Linked DNA regions of Saccharomyces cerevisiae S288C. Changing the gene in region 4 together with the main gene of any one other region gives a genetic interaction. Each region holds a gene or a part of one and is shown on either strand. Other genes may lie near its edges.

Evidence for each region.
Region 1: mutations in AGE2 (region 4) and AVT5 together harm fitness more than expected from each alone (negative genetic interaction), as found in Saccharomyces cerevisiae (2 studies listed by BioGRID).
Region 2: of AGE2 (region 4) and AGE1, a mutation in one rescues a mutant of the other (synthetic rescue), as found in Saccharomyces cerevisiae (2 studies listed by BioGRID, with this or other methods).
Region 3: of AGE2 (region 4) and CSR1, extra expression of one rescues a mutant of the other (dosage rescue), as found in Saccharomyces cerevisiae (one study listed by BioGRID).

Annotation. Positions count from the first base shown.
Region 1 is NC_001134.8:48,055-51,526, forward strand, and holds AVT5 (amino acid transporter), read left to right. Parts: upstream 1-1,519; coding exon 1,520-2,899; downstream 2,900-3,472. Other genes in the region: MAP2 (methionine aminopeptidase), read right to left, coding at 1-574; mitochondrial 37S ribosomal protein bS21m MRP21, read left to right, coding at 771-1,304; DNA-binding protein kinase TEL1, read right to left, coding at 2,965-3,472. UniProt on the Saccharomyces cerevisiae protein: Probable amino acid transporter of unknown specificity.
Region 2 is NC_001136.10:1,486,979-1,490,670, reverse strand, and holds AGE1 (GTPase-activating protein AGE1), read left to right. Parts: upstream 1-1,680; coding exon 1,681-3,129; downstream 3,130-3,692. Other genes in the region: SNA2 (Sna2p), read right to left, coding at 1-75; API2 (Api2p), read right to left, coding at 437-766; YDR524C-B (uncharacterized protein), read left to right, coding at 873-1,073; YDR524W-C (uncharacterized protein), read right to left, coding at 1,179-1,268; putative serine/threonine protein kinase SPS1, read left to right, coding at 3,633-3,692. UniProt on the Saccharomyces cerevisiae protein: GTPase-activating protein (GAP) for the ADP ribosylation factors ARF1 and ARF2. May be involved in the endocytic pathway.
Region 3 is NC_001144.5:876,720-880,081, forward strand, and holds CSR1 (Csr1p), read left to right. Parts: upstream 1-1,562; coding exon 1,563-2,789; downstream 2,790-3,362. Other genes in the region: translocon subunit SEC61, read right to left, coding at 1-459; YLR379W-A (uncharacterized protein), read left to right, coding at 725-997; CTF3 (Ctf3p), read left to right, coding at 3,004-3,362. UniProt on the Saccharomyces cerevisiae protein: Non-classical phosphatidylinositol (PtdIns) transfer protein (PITP), which exhibits PtdIns-binding/transfer activity in the absence of detectable PtdCho-binding/transfer activity.
Region 4 is NC_001141.2:272,406-275,760, reverse strand, and holds AGE2 (GTPase-activating protein AGE2), read left to right. Parts: upstream 1-1,914; coding exon 1,915-2,811; downstream 2,812-3,355. Other genes in the region: protein kinase PKP1, read left to right, coding at 1-653; CBR1 (cytochrome-b5 reductase), read left to right, coding at 835-1,689; putative protein phosphatase regulator PIG2, read right to left, coding at 2,984-3,355. UniProt on the Saccharomyces cerevisiae protein: GTPase-activating protein for the ADP ribosylation factor family.

The DNA.
Region 1 (3,472 bases), on a different chromosome or scaffold from region 4:
TCATCACGTCTTCGTATTTCAGAACGGTTTTGTCGCCTGCATTGGGTGTGAAATGTGCAGCACAATGGTTGAGAGAGAGACCCGTTGGAAACCCAATACCTTGAGATTTGGGATCCTCCATCGCTAATAAATTTTCGGCACCTGTATACTTTCTTGTAGTATTTTCGATCATGTCAGCGATATCCATTAACTTCATCCCAGGAACGATTCTGTCCTTGATGGCCCTTCTCACACGACGATGTATCTCAGCACCCTTTCTGACATCATTCCAATGTTCGGCCCTTTCCAGATCCCTTTTCAAATAACGTGATTCTTCATCCGTGGTTCTTTGCAGATTGAAATCTTGATGATAGTCCATCCACGCACCTTCTGGGTACTTTCCATCTGGAAACAGTAATTCAATCTTCTTCACATTGCTTTTCTTCTTCTTCTTTTTCTTGTTCTTCTTCTTTTTGCTTTCTACTGGGTCTGACTCGTCAGCTTTTGCCTGGTCTTGCTGTTCAACGCCTTCATTCTCCAAATTCAATTCTTTTAAATCAGAAGCAGGGGAATTTTCTATTTCAGCGTCTGTCATTTTTCAATACGGTAGAGCTTCTACAGTACTTGTTGATGTAAAAGCCCACTTATTAGCTTCTTGCTATGGCTTCCTTTCTTTTTTAAGTTCGCTTCTTTCCCAAGATTGAAAATAAAAAATAAGTGAGACCAGGTCATTAAAGGTCCCTTGAAGAGTAAAAAATCTGTCAAATATCACCCATAAGAGCATAACCATAATGTTGAAGAGCACGCTGAGGCTTTCAAGAATCTCTCTCAGAAGAGGTTTCACAACGATCGACTGTTTACGCCAACAAAATTCGGATATCGATAAAATCATACTAAATCCAATCAAATTAGCTCAGGGAAGCAACAGCGATCGTGGCCAAACCTCTAAAAGCAAAACTGATAATGCAGATATTTTATCAATGGAAATTCCAGTAGATATGATGCAATCTGCTGGGAGAATAAACAAGAGGGAGCTTCTATCCGAGGCGGAAATTGCTAGAAGTAGCGTGGAGAATGCACAAATGAGATTCAATTCTGGAAAATCTATAATCGTGAATAAGAACAACCCTGCAGAATCATTTAAGAGATTAAACAGGATCATGTTTGAGAACAATATTCCCGGAGATAAAAGAAGTCAACGGTTTTACATGAAGCCGGGGAAAGTGGCTGAATTGAAGAGATCTCAAAGGCATAGGAAGGAATTCATGATGGGCTTCAAGAGGTTGATTGAAATTGTTAAAGATGCCAAGAGGAAAGGATACTAATCGTACCATCAACTCTTGAATATTGTGAAATTTTCGCCATTGATTTCCGTCTTTGTAAATAGGTAATGCGTAACTATTTAGTTAAATTTTTGTATATTTTTTATTCTATGACTTCACTTATCCATTATTTCCATCGTCAAAAAAAGGAAATAAATACTGTTGCTCGAACGAACAGCAAGATAAAGTGGAAACGAAAAGTAAGCAGCTTCCTCAATATGCCGTCAAACGTACGTTCGGGAGTCTTAACTTTGCTCCATACAGCATGTGGAGCAGGCGTACTTGCAATGCCGTTTGCATTCAAGCCATTTGGGTTAATGCCTGGTCTGATAACGCTAACATTTTGCGGAATATGTTCCTTATGTGGGCTGCTATTACAGACTCGAATAGCGAAGTACGTACCTAAATCTGAGAACGCCTCGTTTGCTAAACTCACCCAACTAATCAATCCGTCAATAAGTGTAGTGTTCGATTTTGCCATTGCTGTTAAATGTTTTGGCGTTGGTGTATCTTACTTAATTATTGTTGGTGACTTAGTGCCACAGATAGTGCAGTCAATTTTTTATCGTAACGATGATAACATGAGTGGTTCGCAAGAGCATCACATGTTCTTAGACAGGCGTTTGTATATAACTCTGATCATAGTGTTTGTTATCTCCCCTTTATGCTTTAAAAGAAGTTTGAATTCTCTACGATATGCTTCTATGATTGCCATTGTTAGTGTCGCATATTTATCTGGTTTGATTATTTACCATTTTGTAAATCGGCATCAGCTAGAGAGAGGGCAAGTATATTTTATGGTACCTCACGGAGATTCTCAGTCTCATTCTCCCCTGACTACATTGCCAATTTTTGTGTTTGCTTACACTTGTCACCACAATATGTTCAGTGTAATTAATGAGCAAGTGGATAAGAGCTTCAAGGTAATCAGGAGGATTCCGATTTTTGCCATCGTGTTGGCCTATTTTTTATACATCATAATTGGTGGTACAGGTTATATGACATTTGGTGAGAATATTGTAGGAAATATCCTCACTTTATACCCGAATTCCATCTCCACCACCATCGGGAGGTTAGCAATGCTGCTATTAGTTATGTTAGCATTTCCATTGCAATGCCATCCTTGCAGATCATCGGTAAAAAACATAATTATATTCATTGAAAATTTCAGAAAAGGTAAGTTATACGATAACAGAGCTAGCTTTATTCCATTAGACAACTTTAATAGTGAAGATCCGCAGGAGGCGCCAACCCAACAAAACAACGAAGAGCCAAATCTGCGTAGTGAGTCTTTACGGCATATCAATATTATCACCCTTTGTATCTTACTGTTCTCATATCTACTGGCTATTTCAATTACGTCTCTAGCAAAAGTCCTAGCAATAGTTGGTGCCACGGGATCTACGTCGATTTCTTTCATTTTGCCAGGCCTTTTTGGTTATAAATTAATTGGCTCAGAATTTACGGGCACGAATGAAAGAGTACCGACAAGCATAAAAATATTCAAATACTTAAGTTTATCTCTATTCATCTGGGGGATAGCAGTAATGGTAGCTTCACTATCAGCGATTGTATTTTTGGGCACATCATCACATTGAGTTTGTACATTACTTTTCGTATTTCTATAAACAAAAAAAAGAAGTATAAAGCATCTGCATAGCAATTAATAAAAAGGTGACCATCCCATATATATAACACTCAAATTTGATGGATCCGTGGCTTGCTGAATCAAATCTTGTACGCTAGACTCTACACTTAGTCCATTACCCATAAGCTTCTCTTCTACACCTTTAAGGGCCCTATAAGACTCTTGGTTTTCGTTCCTGTCGTTGTTACTTATGAACTTGCTGACGTTATCGAAATTTGTAATTTCATGTTCTTCTTCAAATAAGTGTTCGTATTTTTTAACTGGTGACATTACCCAGGAATAAAGGGGATCCCATTTTAAGATATTCAAAACACACATCACCTTGACATAATCTTTTCTTAATACTGCGTAAACTCTTTCACAACTCCGCCTGAATAGGCCATCCACGCCTGTGACTCCAAATCCATCAACGATATCTCTAGTTAATCTGAAAGGGACCAACTCTGGAATGGGGAGTAATTTTCCCTGATCAAACGCAATTCCCAGGTCTATATGAATAGGCTCCCCTGTTGAGCAGTCAAGC
Region 2 (3,692 bases), on a different chromosome or scaffold from region 4:
ACCTCTTTTTAGCCAGACTGCTAAGGGAGGAATGAAAATTGCAATAAAAACTAAAAACCAGTCGCGGGCGTGCATAGTGTAATTCTAAAGTTGTATGTTCTCTAATACGATGACTGGTACTTGCAAAATGCTTATTCGAGGACTAACTAAGATCGATCAGTAAAGATCTCTTGTCAATCAAACCTTTCTCGCACAATAGGAGACAGGAAAAGGGGAAAGAAAGTCGAAAAAGTGCGGGTTCCGGTACATGGATTATATCGCCCCGGGACAATGCGCGTTGCCCCTCACCGGCCCGGAATATACGCGTGGTTGCGCTCTTTCGTTACCCGCGACTGTTTTGGCGCCCCATTCATGCTACGCGGATCTGGACCTGCTTATTTCCCGAGAATACGTCCCGAAAAAGTAATGCAGTTTCCGAAATGGGCGCGGTAAGGGCCTAGGCCCAACGTTGGGCCTTTTTCAGTTCCAAAAAAACGACTCGTTGGGAGCCGTGCGGTCCCGTCTTCGGGCGTGATTGGCCGCTTTGGCCGCTTCTGGGCGTAGGACGCCAAAGTTTATTTCCAAAATAGCGAAGACCAGAGCCACGCCTTTTCTTTTTGCAAGCGGAATATCCGCTTGAGAAATGAGAAAAAGAAAGCAGAAAAAAAATCATCGCTTTTTTCACGTTTGTTACATGAGATATGGTGCTGTGTGTCATCGCGGTGGTTTTCCTGGCTTTTCTCCTCATATATAAGGAACTCGAGAAATTCTTGATTTTCTTTTCCATCTTCTCCTACTGTATTATTTACTTTATTAGTTAATATTGTTTTTGATTTTAGAGGAAAATCATCATTAAACATAAGTTTCAATCAACACTAATCATCAACAAAACAATGCAATTCAAGACCATCGTCGCTGCCTTCGCTACTGTTGCCGCTGTCCAAGCTGCTAACGTTTCTACCAATGGTTCCAACCGTACCAACGGTTCCAACACCACCAGCACCAAGATCTCCACTGGTGCTGCTGCTTCCAACGCTTTGGGTGCTGGTGTCTTCGGTGCTGCCGTCGCTGCCGGTGTCGCTTTCTTATTCTAAGTTCTTTAATTTTGAGTTTAGAGACATTATACTCCTATAATATCGAAAAAATTTTTTTATTATCGCTACACAATCAAGTTTTTATGTGCTTTTTTAATAATATTATTATAGAACAAGAAGAAAGACCGCTCTTTCCTTGAAGGGACCAAAGAAGGAAAAAAAATATGTTGGAAGGGTTTTATATGATCTTTTCATGTTCGTTCACTTGTAATGGAATATTAGTTAGAAGATGTAAATAACTTATCTGTTTATTTTTATTTCCTCTCTATAATTATTACCTGTATTAATTCATTATCTAATATAAAATCTAATCTAATAATAGAATTTTCTGATGTTTATCTTTTTTTTTGTCGTATTCTCGGCGAATTAATCGCGGAAAATTTCATATCGAATTTTAAAGGAATGTCATTTTGAACGCTAAAGTATTATTTATTCTCGTCCGATGTTGGTTTTTTTTCCTATCGCTGTCGTTATAATAGTACTTGACGAAGAGAGAAGAAAAGTAAAAATTTGAGCGAAAAAGAGGATAAAAATCACATTGAGGCAGAGTGGTTAAGGTAGCTGTACCAGTCATTTTGAATACATTTTTCTGGATGTTCCATCAATAATGGATTTTTATACTACTGATATCAACAAAAATGTTGTGCCTTTGTTCAGTAAAGGAACAGTAGCAAGAACAGCATCAAAAGCACAGTATCCATCATGGTGCAACAACGCGTTAAAGTTAACTAATATTCTTCTTAAATCTCTTCGATGTAAATTTCAAACGAACCGCTGCGAGGATGATCGAGGTTTTGAGGTATATTGTGTTATTTTAAAAAGCATCGCTTTATTAATGGCCGCGAAAGAATCATTGATATTACTACAAATACCTCCTTCTTTACCATCAGGATTTCCATTTCGTTCACCCCAACTGTCATTTACATATTTATCAACCCGTCTTAGTGGGAGCCAACACAAATCTACGCATTCTCATCACATCAATCATCAAACTCATCCCATTCATAGTAGCAGTAGCAACAGTAATAGTAATAACCGTATTCCTACAAAAACAGATTCCTCCAAACAGCATACACAGCATTTCTCTTTTGCTAATGCGGGAGCCTCCAATAGAGACGAACTGCTATCAATCGTGCGCAAAATTGATAAATCTAATTTGAAGTGTTGTGACTGCGGTAGCACCGCAACAGTAGAATGGGTGTCAATCAATTTATTGTGTATATTGTGTATCAAATGTTCGGGCGTTCATCGATCTCTGGGTTCACATATCTCCAAAATTAGATCTTTAACGCTGGATAATTTCACCTCGTTAGAGTTGATGCATCTTTTACAAAATAATGTTTCCAATAGTAATGTTAATGCCATTTATGAAAGCAATCTCAGGAACTTTCCAGTTAAAAAAATAACTGCAAATTCTGATGACTCGGAAAGATCCAAATTCATTATTGATAAGTATCAATTTAAAAAGTTTGTTATCGACAGCAACCAAGGCAGAGAGGCTTCTTTGAAGTCTTTAATTAAAGCTATCCATTTAGATAGTGTTTTCATGATGCAAAGAGCCATCGCCCAAAGTAAATATTCCCTAAGAGAATTGACGGCAAGCGAAAAAGAGCAGAATGATCTAAACCATTCTTCCATTTTTCAATATTCCCTAAAGCACTATGAAATTGTTGATGGAACGCCCATTTTTTTTATTACAGAATTTTTATTGTGCAATGGTATTCATATAGATAATTTACCGAAGATTACTACGAATTGGTCTCCAAAGGTTTTAGAATATTGGGAAACTAAGTTGGAGATGTACGGAACATTCCAAGCTGTAAATACTTCTCGTCCAAGATCAGGGCCGCATTTAAATATGCATTCAAATGTAGATTCAGCTTCGTCCTACAATAAGAAACACGATTTGAGAGTTAACATACCTGAAAGAAGTGCCTCAGCAAGTAAAAGGTGGAGTTTGAGCTCCATTCCTAAGTCTTCTCAAAATTTGATGTCCCCAACAAACTTATTAACAATGCATAAGTCTTTAAAATTGGCCAAAAAGGACAAAAAATAACATATATGATAATTTAACTGTATTTTTTTCCCTTTTCTAATACTTTTTCCTCAAGTTATATTTCGGAGCTGTCCCAGGTTCGGAACAATGCGGCATCAGGGATAAAAAAAAATGACACATAAAAACGAAAAAGACACAAATTCCATTTTTTTTTTTTGACGCGAAAGAATGACACTACTTTCTTCTATTGTAACCATTTCTAACATCGATATTTTACTTGTTAGTTCAGATATATACTAAAGAGTCACTTAATATACTGTTTTTGTTTATTATCTTGGTTCCAACTGCTTCATTTAATATTTCCTATCCAAAAAAAGCCAGCTAATTCTCTTCTTTTTTTTTCTTATTTTGCCATTTTCAATATTATCGATTTAGTGAACACCTGGCTAGTCAGTTGTCTTAGCAAACATTTCTCAAAAGAAAGCAAACCAGCATTTGCTTTTTAAATTTAGTTTTTTTACTAGCTAATTCATTTACTAAACAACAAAAGAAAATAGCACAAAATGGAAAGCAAAGAAATATCAATTAGGTCAAGAACCCCTCCATCGAAGCTATATTCCATC
Region 3 (3,362 bases), on a different chromosome or scaffold from region 4:
TAACAACAAACAGATGGGCAATCCGAGGTCCGAAGGGGCACCGTAGTTACCTGTCATGACGACCACAAGGGCTTGGCCCAAGATCAGAATAATAGCGCACACCTTTTGAGCAATTTGGAACAGCTCTCTGTCCTGCTTGCTCTCAGGTCTGATTTGTAAAAGCTGAGTACCCTGCAAAAATTGGAAAATCATAGATGAAGTGATGATGGGCGAAACACCCAATTCCAGTAAAGTACCACGGTTGGAGGCCAGCATGGCACGTAGCCAGTACAGAGGGTCGGAAGTCTCACTGGACACGATCCCGTACAGCGGAATCTGGCCCAGAATCAAAAAGATCAGTAGAGAAACGCCTGTCCAGATAAGTTTCTGGTTGTATGGAACCTTCCTTTCTGGAGCAATCACTTCCGGCAGGAAAGATTCAAATGGCTTAAACAAGTCTAGAACACGGTTGGAGGACATTTTCAAAGTAAAGCGTGAACCAGTGTCAGTTTTTCTACTTGCTACTATATTTAACTATGTTTTTTTCTTTTGCTTTCACCAACTGAACCTTGTAGTAAATGGAGTGAGGTTGAATTGAGGACTGAAAAAAAGGTTAGTTCGGAGGCCGCTGAAGTTTCCGATTGGGAGCAGGAATTGAGGATGGAGGGTGCAAAGTGAGGTCCTTGATTTGTTGTTTTTACACTAAACTACGTTACCACCGTAACGCCAATTCAAGGCAGGAATTATGCTTGTTGTTTGGCAAAAGTTGCCGAAAGAAAGAATGAGAGAGAACGACAAAGAGAATGAGAGAGAACACGTAAAGCGAAAAATCTGGAGCGCTGCCGCGCCGGGTAACAAGTGTGAAGAGAGAGAGAGATGTAAGGAAGATGAATACATTCAATACATTCTAGCTTATAGCAAGCTTTCAGCAGGCTCAATTGCTTATAGCGGTATAACTGCAACAAGAGTGAAAATTAATATGGTGACGAACGACGGATTCGGTAGTACAGTGTTATAATGCCGGCAATTACCGTATGCCATCGGAATCCAGATGCATTTCTGAACCTTTCCACTCGGGAAAACCACTCGTCATGTCACACGGAGAGTTGGCCATGAACTGGCTAATGGGATGGTCTAAGGCGACCACTGTAAGAAGAACAAGAGATGATGCAAGCTAAAGCAAGCAGGTCTCAAATAAACGCTACTTGTGCCGTTGACAGCTTGTTTATCTTGCACATGGCAAGGCCATCGCGTCCCTGCGTCCCAAGAGTGCGCGGTATACGTGCGGCCCTAAACGAGGCGGTCTCTGTTCTCTGATATATTTCTTTTCTTTCTTCGTTGTTTTGTTTCGTGTTTGTTGAGCTCCTGCCTTCAATCGGCATCGTCCTCTTGCGTACGTACATAAAATCGTTACAGCTTTGTTCACATGGTGAAAACAATAGCGTTTGGTACGCTCTTTAAATCTTGGCACTTGTCACTTACGCTCCTTTAAACAAAATCAAACATACAAATATACGGATACGTACGCACACAGAAGCATAAAAGCACAAAAGCACATAAGAAGACCACATATAAACTAGATTATGTCCTTTGATAGACAGTTGACCGAAGACCAGGAGGTCGTCCTTAAGCAAATTTGGACACACCTTTTCCATCTGTGGCAAGTTCCCGTGGATGGAACTCATATTTTCCCTAATAACTCCCTCCACTCCTCGTCCACCCCTGCTAAGAAGAAGAAATCATCCTGGTTTAGCAAGCTTCAGTCCTCAGACCATACACAGGACTCCAGCGAAGCCGCTGAAGCGGCACACCTCTATGAAAAGGGCAAGATACACAAGGCACTAGCCAATCTAGACCCGCAAACGACCAAGAAGCAGTTCTGGCACGATATCAAGAATGAAACTCCAGACGCCACCATTTTGAAGTTTATCAGAGCCAGAAAGTGGAACGCAGACAAGACCATCGCCATGTTGGGTCACGATTTGTACTGGCGCAAGGACACTATTAACAAGATCATAAACGGTGGCGAAAGAGCTGTGTATGAGAATAACGAGACCGGTGTCATTAAGAACCTGGAATTGCAAAAGGCCACCATCCAGGGTTACGACAATGACATGAGGCCAGTCATCCTTGTGAGACCTAGATTACATCATTCTTCCGACCAAACTGAACAGGAGCTGGAAAAATTCTCCCTGTTGGTCATCGAGCAATCAAAGCTTTTCTTCAAAGAAAACTACCCCGCATCCACCACCATCTTGTTCGATCTGAACGGGTTCTCCATGTCCAATATGGACTATGCCCCCGTCAAGTTTCTAATCACTTGTTTTGAGGCTCACTACCCGGAATCTTTGGGCCATCTACTTATCCATAAGGCCCCTTGGATCTTTAACCCGATTTGGAACATCATCAAGAATTGGCTGGATCCGGTCGTCGCGTCCAAGATTGTTTTCACTAAGAATATCGACGAATTGCACAAGTTTATCCAACCCCAATACATCCCTAGGTATCTGGGCGGAGAAAATGACAATGATTTGGATCATTACACTCCACCAGATGGCTCTTTGGACGTCCATCTGAAAGACACCGAGACTCGCGCTATGATCGAAAAGGAGAGAGAAGAATTGGTCGAACAATTCTTGACTGTCACTGCCCAATGGATTGAACACCAGCCATTGAACGATCCAGCATACATTCAACTGCAGGAGAAAAGAGTACAACTTTCCACCGCTCTTTGTGAAAACTACTCCAAGTTAGATCCGTACATCAGATCAAGATCCGTTTATGACTACAATGGTTCTCTAAAAGTTTGAGCCAAGCCACGCGACGCTCCATACTGTATAGACCTTTATTATAAAAACATCTATTTCTTTATATGTCCCTCTATCTTATTTTTCTTTTACTTTTATTTGTATAATACGCGAAAAATTATAGAATCATTTATTATCAAAAACAATCAACTATGAAATGAAAAACAATACGCCTGCTAATACGGTTCGCCCTTCAATTTTTGTTTTTTTTACATGAATGAGTCTTATACTAGATGATATCATCCTCTCACTAACGAATGCTAACGAACGAACGCCACCACAGGCCCTTAAAACCACTTTAAGCCTGCTATACGAAAAATCAAAACAATATGGTCTTTCTTCGCCGCAACTACAAGCACTTGTAAGGTTACTCTGTGAAACTTCCATAATAGACACAGTTACAAAAGTGTACATCGTCGAAAATTGCTTTTTACCTGATGGCTACTTGACGAAGGAACTTCTTTTGGAGATTATTAACCATCTCGGTACGCCAACGGTATTCTCTAGATATCGCATACAAACGCCTCCGGTCCTACAATCTGCGTTGTGCAAATGGTTAGTGCATGTTTATTTCCT
Region 4 (3,355 bases):
ACCTGAAGGAGAGAATCACGATGAAGCTGCTTGTGACGCACTATTTGTCGTTGATGGCACAGAACAAAGGTGACACGAACAAAAGGATGATTGGAATCTTGCACCGGGACCTCCCCATAGCACAATTGATCAAGCACGTTTCTGATTATGTCAATGATATATGCTTTGTGAAGTTCAACACTCAGCGGACCCCGGTCCTAATTCACCCGCCATCACAAGACATCACATTCACGTGCATTCCGCCCATTCTGGAGTATATTATGACAGAGGTATTCAAGAACGCTTTTGAAGCTCAGATAGCTCTTGGAAAGGAACATATGCCCATAGAGATCAATCTTTTAAAGCCAGACGATGACGAGCTGTACTTACGGATACGGGACCATGGTGGTGGGATCACGCCCGAGGTAGAGGCCCTCATGTTCAACTACTCTTACTCTACACATACCCAACAATCAGCTGACTCTGAGTCTACAGATCTGCCCGGCGAGCAAATCAACAACGTCTCCGGCATGGGCTTTGGTCTACCAATGTGCAAGACGTACCTAGAACTGTTTGGGGGCAAGATTGACGTTCAAAGTTTACTTGGCTGGGGCACGGACGTGTACATCAAGCTCAAAGGCCCTTCTAAGACTGCACTACTCTCCAAAAAGTAACAGTGCTAAATTTCCTCGTAAAGCGGTACCATTAAGGGCTCTTTCTACTTCTTTAAATTATCTACATATGTATAAATATTCTTATTATATAAGGCGAAAAAATGAACGAGAAAAAAAAGTGTTGAAAGTATGCATTCAACTGGCTCTTCAACAAGAGACTCAATCAATTAAGCAATCGAAGATGGCTATTGATGCTCAAAAGCTTGTGGTGGTCATCGTGATCGTGGTCGTGCCTTTGCTCTTCAAGTTCATTATCGGACCGAAGACCAAGCCTGTGCTGGATCCCAAAAGGAATGACTTCCAATCATTTCCGCTGGTTGAAAAAACCATCTTAACGCATAATACTTCGATGTACAAGTTCGGGCTACCTCATGCTGACGACGTACTCGGTTTACCAATTGGTCAGCATATCGTAATTAAGGCCAATATCAATGGTAAGGATATTACCAGATCGTATACGCCCACATCGTTGGATGGAGATACAAAGGGAAACTTTGAATTACTAGTGAAGTCTTACCCCACAGGTAACGTTTCTAAGATGATTGGAGAGTTGAAGATAGGTGACTCGATCCAGATCAAGGGCCCTCGTGGGAACTATCATTATGAGAGAAACTGCCGTTCCCATCTAGGGATGATTGCTGGTGGTACTGGTATTGCGCCCATGTATCAGATCATGAAAGCTATTGCCATGGACCCTCACGACACTACCAAGGTCTCTCTAGTCTTTGGGAACGTCCATGAGGAGGATATTCTGTTGAAGAAGGAACTGGAAGCGTTGGTGGCCATGAAGCCTTCCCAATTTAAGATAGTTTACTACTTAGACTCTCCTGACCGTGAAGACTGGACTGGTGGTGTAGGATACATTACCAAGGATGTCATCAAGGAACACTTGCCCGCTGCTACAATGGACAACGTTCAAATTTTGATCTGTGGTCCTCCAGCCATGGTTGCCTCAGTTAGAAGAAGTACCGTGGACTTGGGGTTCAGACGTTCCAAACCGCTTTCCAAGATGGAAGACCAGGTGTTTGTGTTTTAAGATAAGGAACTGTAACAGAGTGCCATATATATATATATAGATTGGAACATATATAATATATACGCTATTTAGTTTAGTCACCTAAACGCACCGTTTCCATATTTCGTGCTGGACGATTTTCGACTCGATAATACGTATAAGATCGGTACTAATAGTAACAAAAGTAAAGGTAATACTTGCTTCAACTGTACAAAGGAGCATAGAACGTGGGGCAATTTACAAGCGATGTCGACGTCAGTCCCAGTCAAGAAGGCATTAAGTGCTCTTTTACGCGATCCAGGAAACAGTCATTGTGCCGACTGTAAGGCGCAACTACATCCACGCTGGGCTTCCTGGTCACTTGGTGTTTTCATTTGCATTAAATGTGCTGGTATACATAGATCATTGGGAACGCACATTTCGAAAGTGAAATCTGTTGATCTGGATACATGGAAGGAAGAACATTTGGTGAAACTGATACAGTTCAAAAACAATTTAAGAGCTAACTCATACTACGAAGCTACTTTGGCTGATGAATTGAAACAGAGGAAAATCACTGATACGAGCAGTTTACAAAATTTCATCAAGAATAAATATGAATATAAGAAGTGGATTGGTGACCTCTCCAGTATTGAAGGGTTAAATGATTCTACTGAACCAGTTCTGCATAAGCCGTCTGCGAATCATTCGTTGCCTGCTTCGAATGCAAGATTGGACCAGAGCTCAAATTCATTACAAAAGACGCAAACACAACCACCTTCCCACTTATTAAGCACCTCAAGGAGTAATACGAGCTTATTAAACCTACAGGTTTCATCGCTTTCTAAGACTACATCTAATACAAGTGTAACTAGTTCTGCAACAAGCATAGGTGCTGCTAATACCAAGACTGGCAACAGAGTCGGTGAATTTGGGCAAAGGAACGATTTGAAAAAATCCATTTTATCTTTATACTCAAAACCTTCTGCCCAGACTCAAAGCCAGAACTCATTTTTCACTTCCACGACACCTCAGCCTTGTAATACTCCGTCACCATTCGTGAACACTGGAATTACCGCTACAAATAATAATAGTATGAATTCAAATTCCAGTTCTAACATTTCATTGGATGATAACGAGTTATTTAAGAACGTCTGGAGTTGAATAAAAAGTAAAAAAAGAAAGCAAATATAGAAAGCAACAAAAAGAACATCATTCCAGTATATTATTTTATATAAAGAAAATGACCTTCAAATAAAAATAGAAAGTACGTATTCTTATCTTTTTTTTTTCTTTTGTATATGTAAAACAATACTATTAGTTTTTGTTTTTTTCTTTAATGGAATGGGTTTCTGAAAAGACTATGTTTCATCTCGTAGTTATCATTGACGTCTGTTGTGGGCCCTGTCCTCGTTTCATTCGTTACCACGTCAATTTTATAGTTTGCCGAATCATTATTGTCCCAATATTCCTTCCTAGAACGATCAACGCCCCAAGTTAAGTATTGAATACAAAACTCCAATTGTGATATATTGCTATCTTTATCATTTGGATTGTGTATATCATCAATGGAGAACTTAAAAATATCCATATTGCTTCCTGGTAAGATGCCATTGGCATTAGAAAAATACACGCATTCTGATTCATGAAAAGTTCTCCATGCATCCCATGTATATCTTACGATAATCTTCTTATCAAAGTATATGTT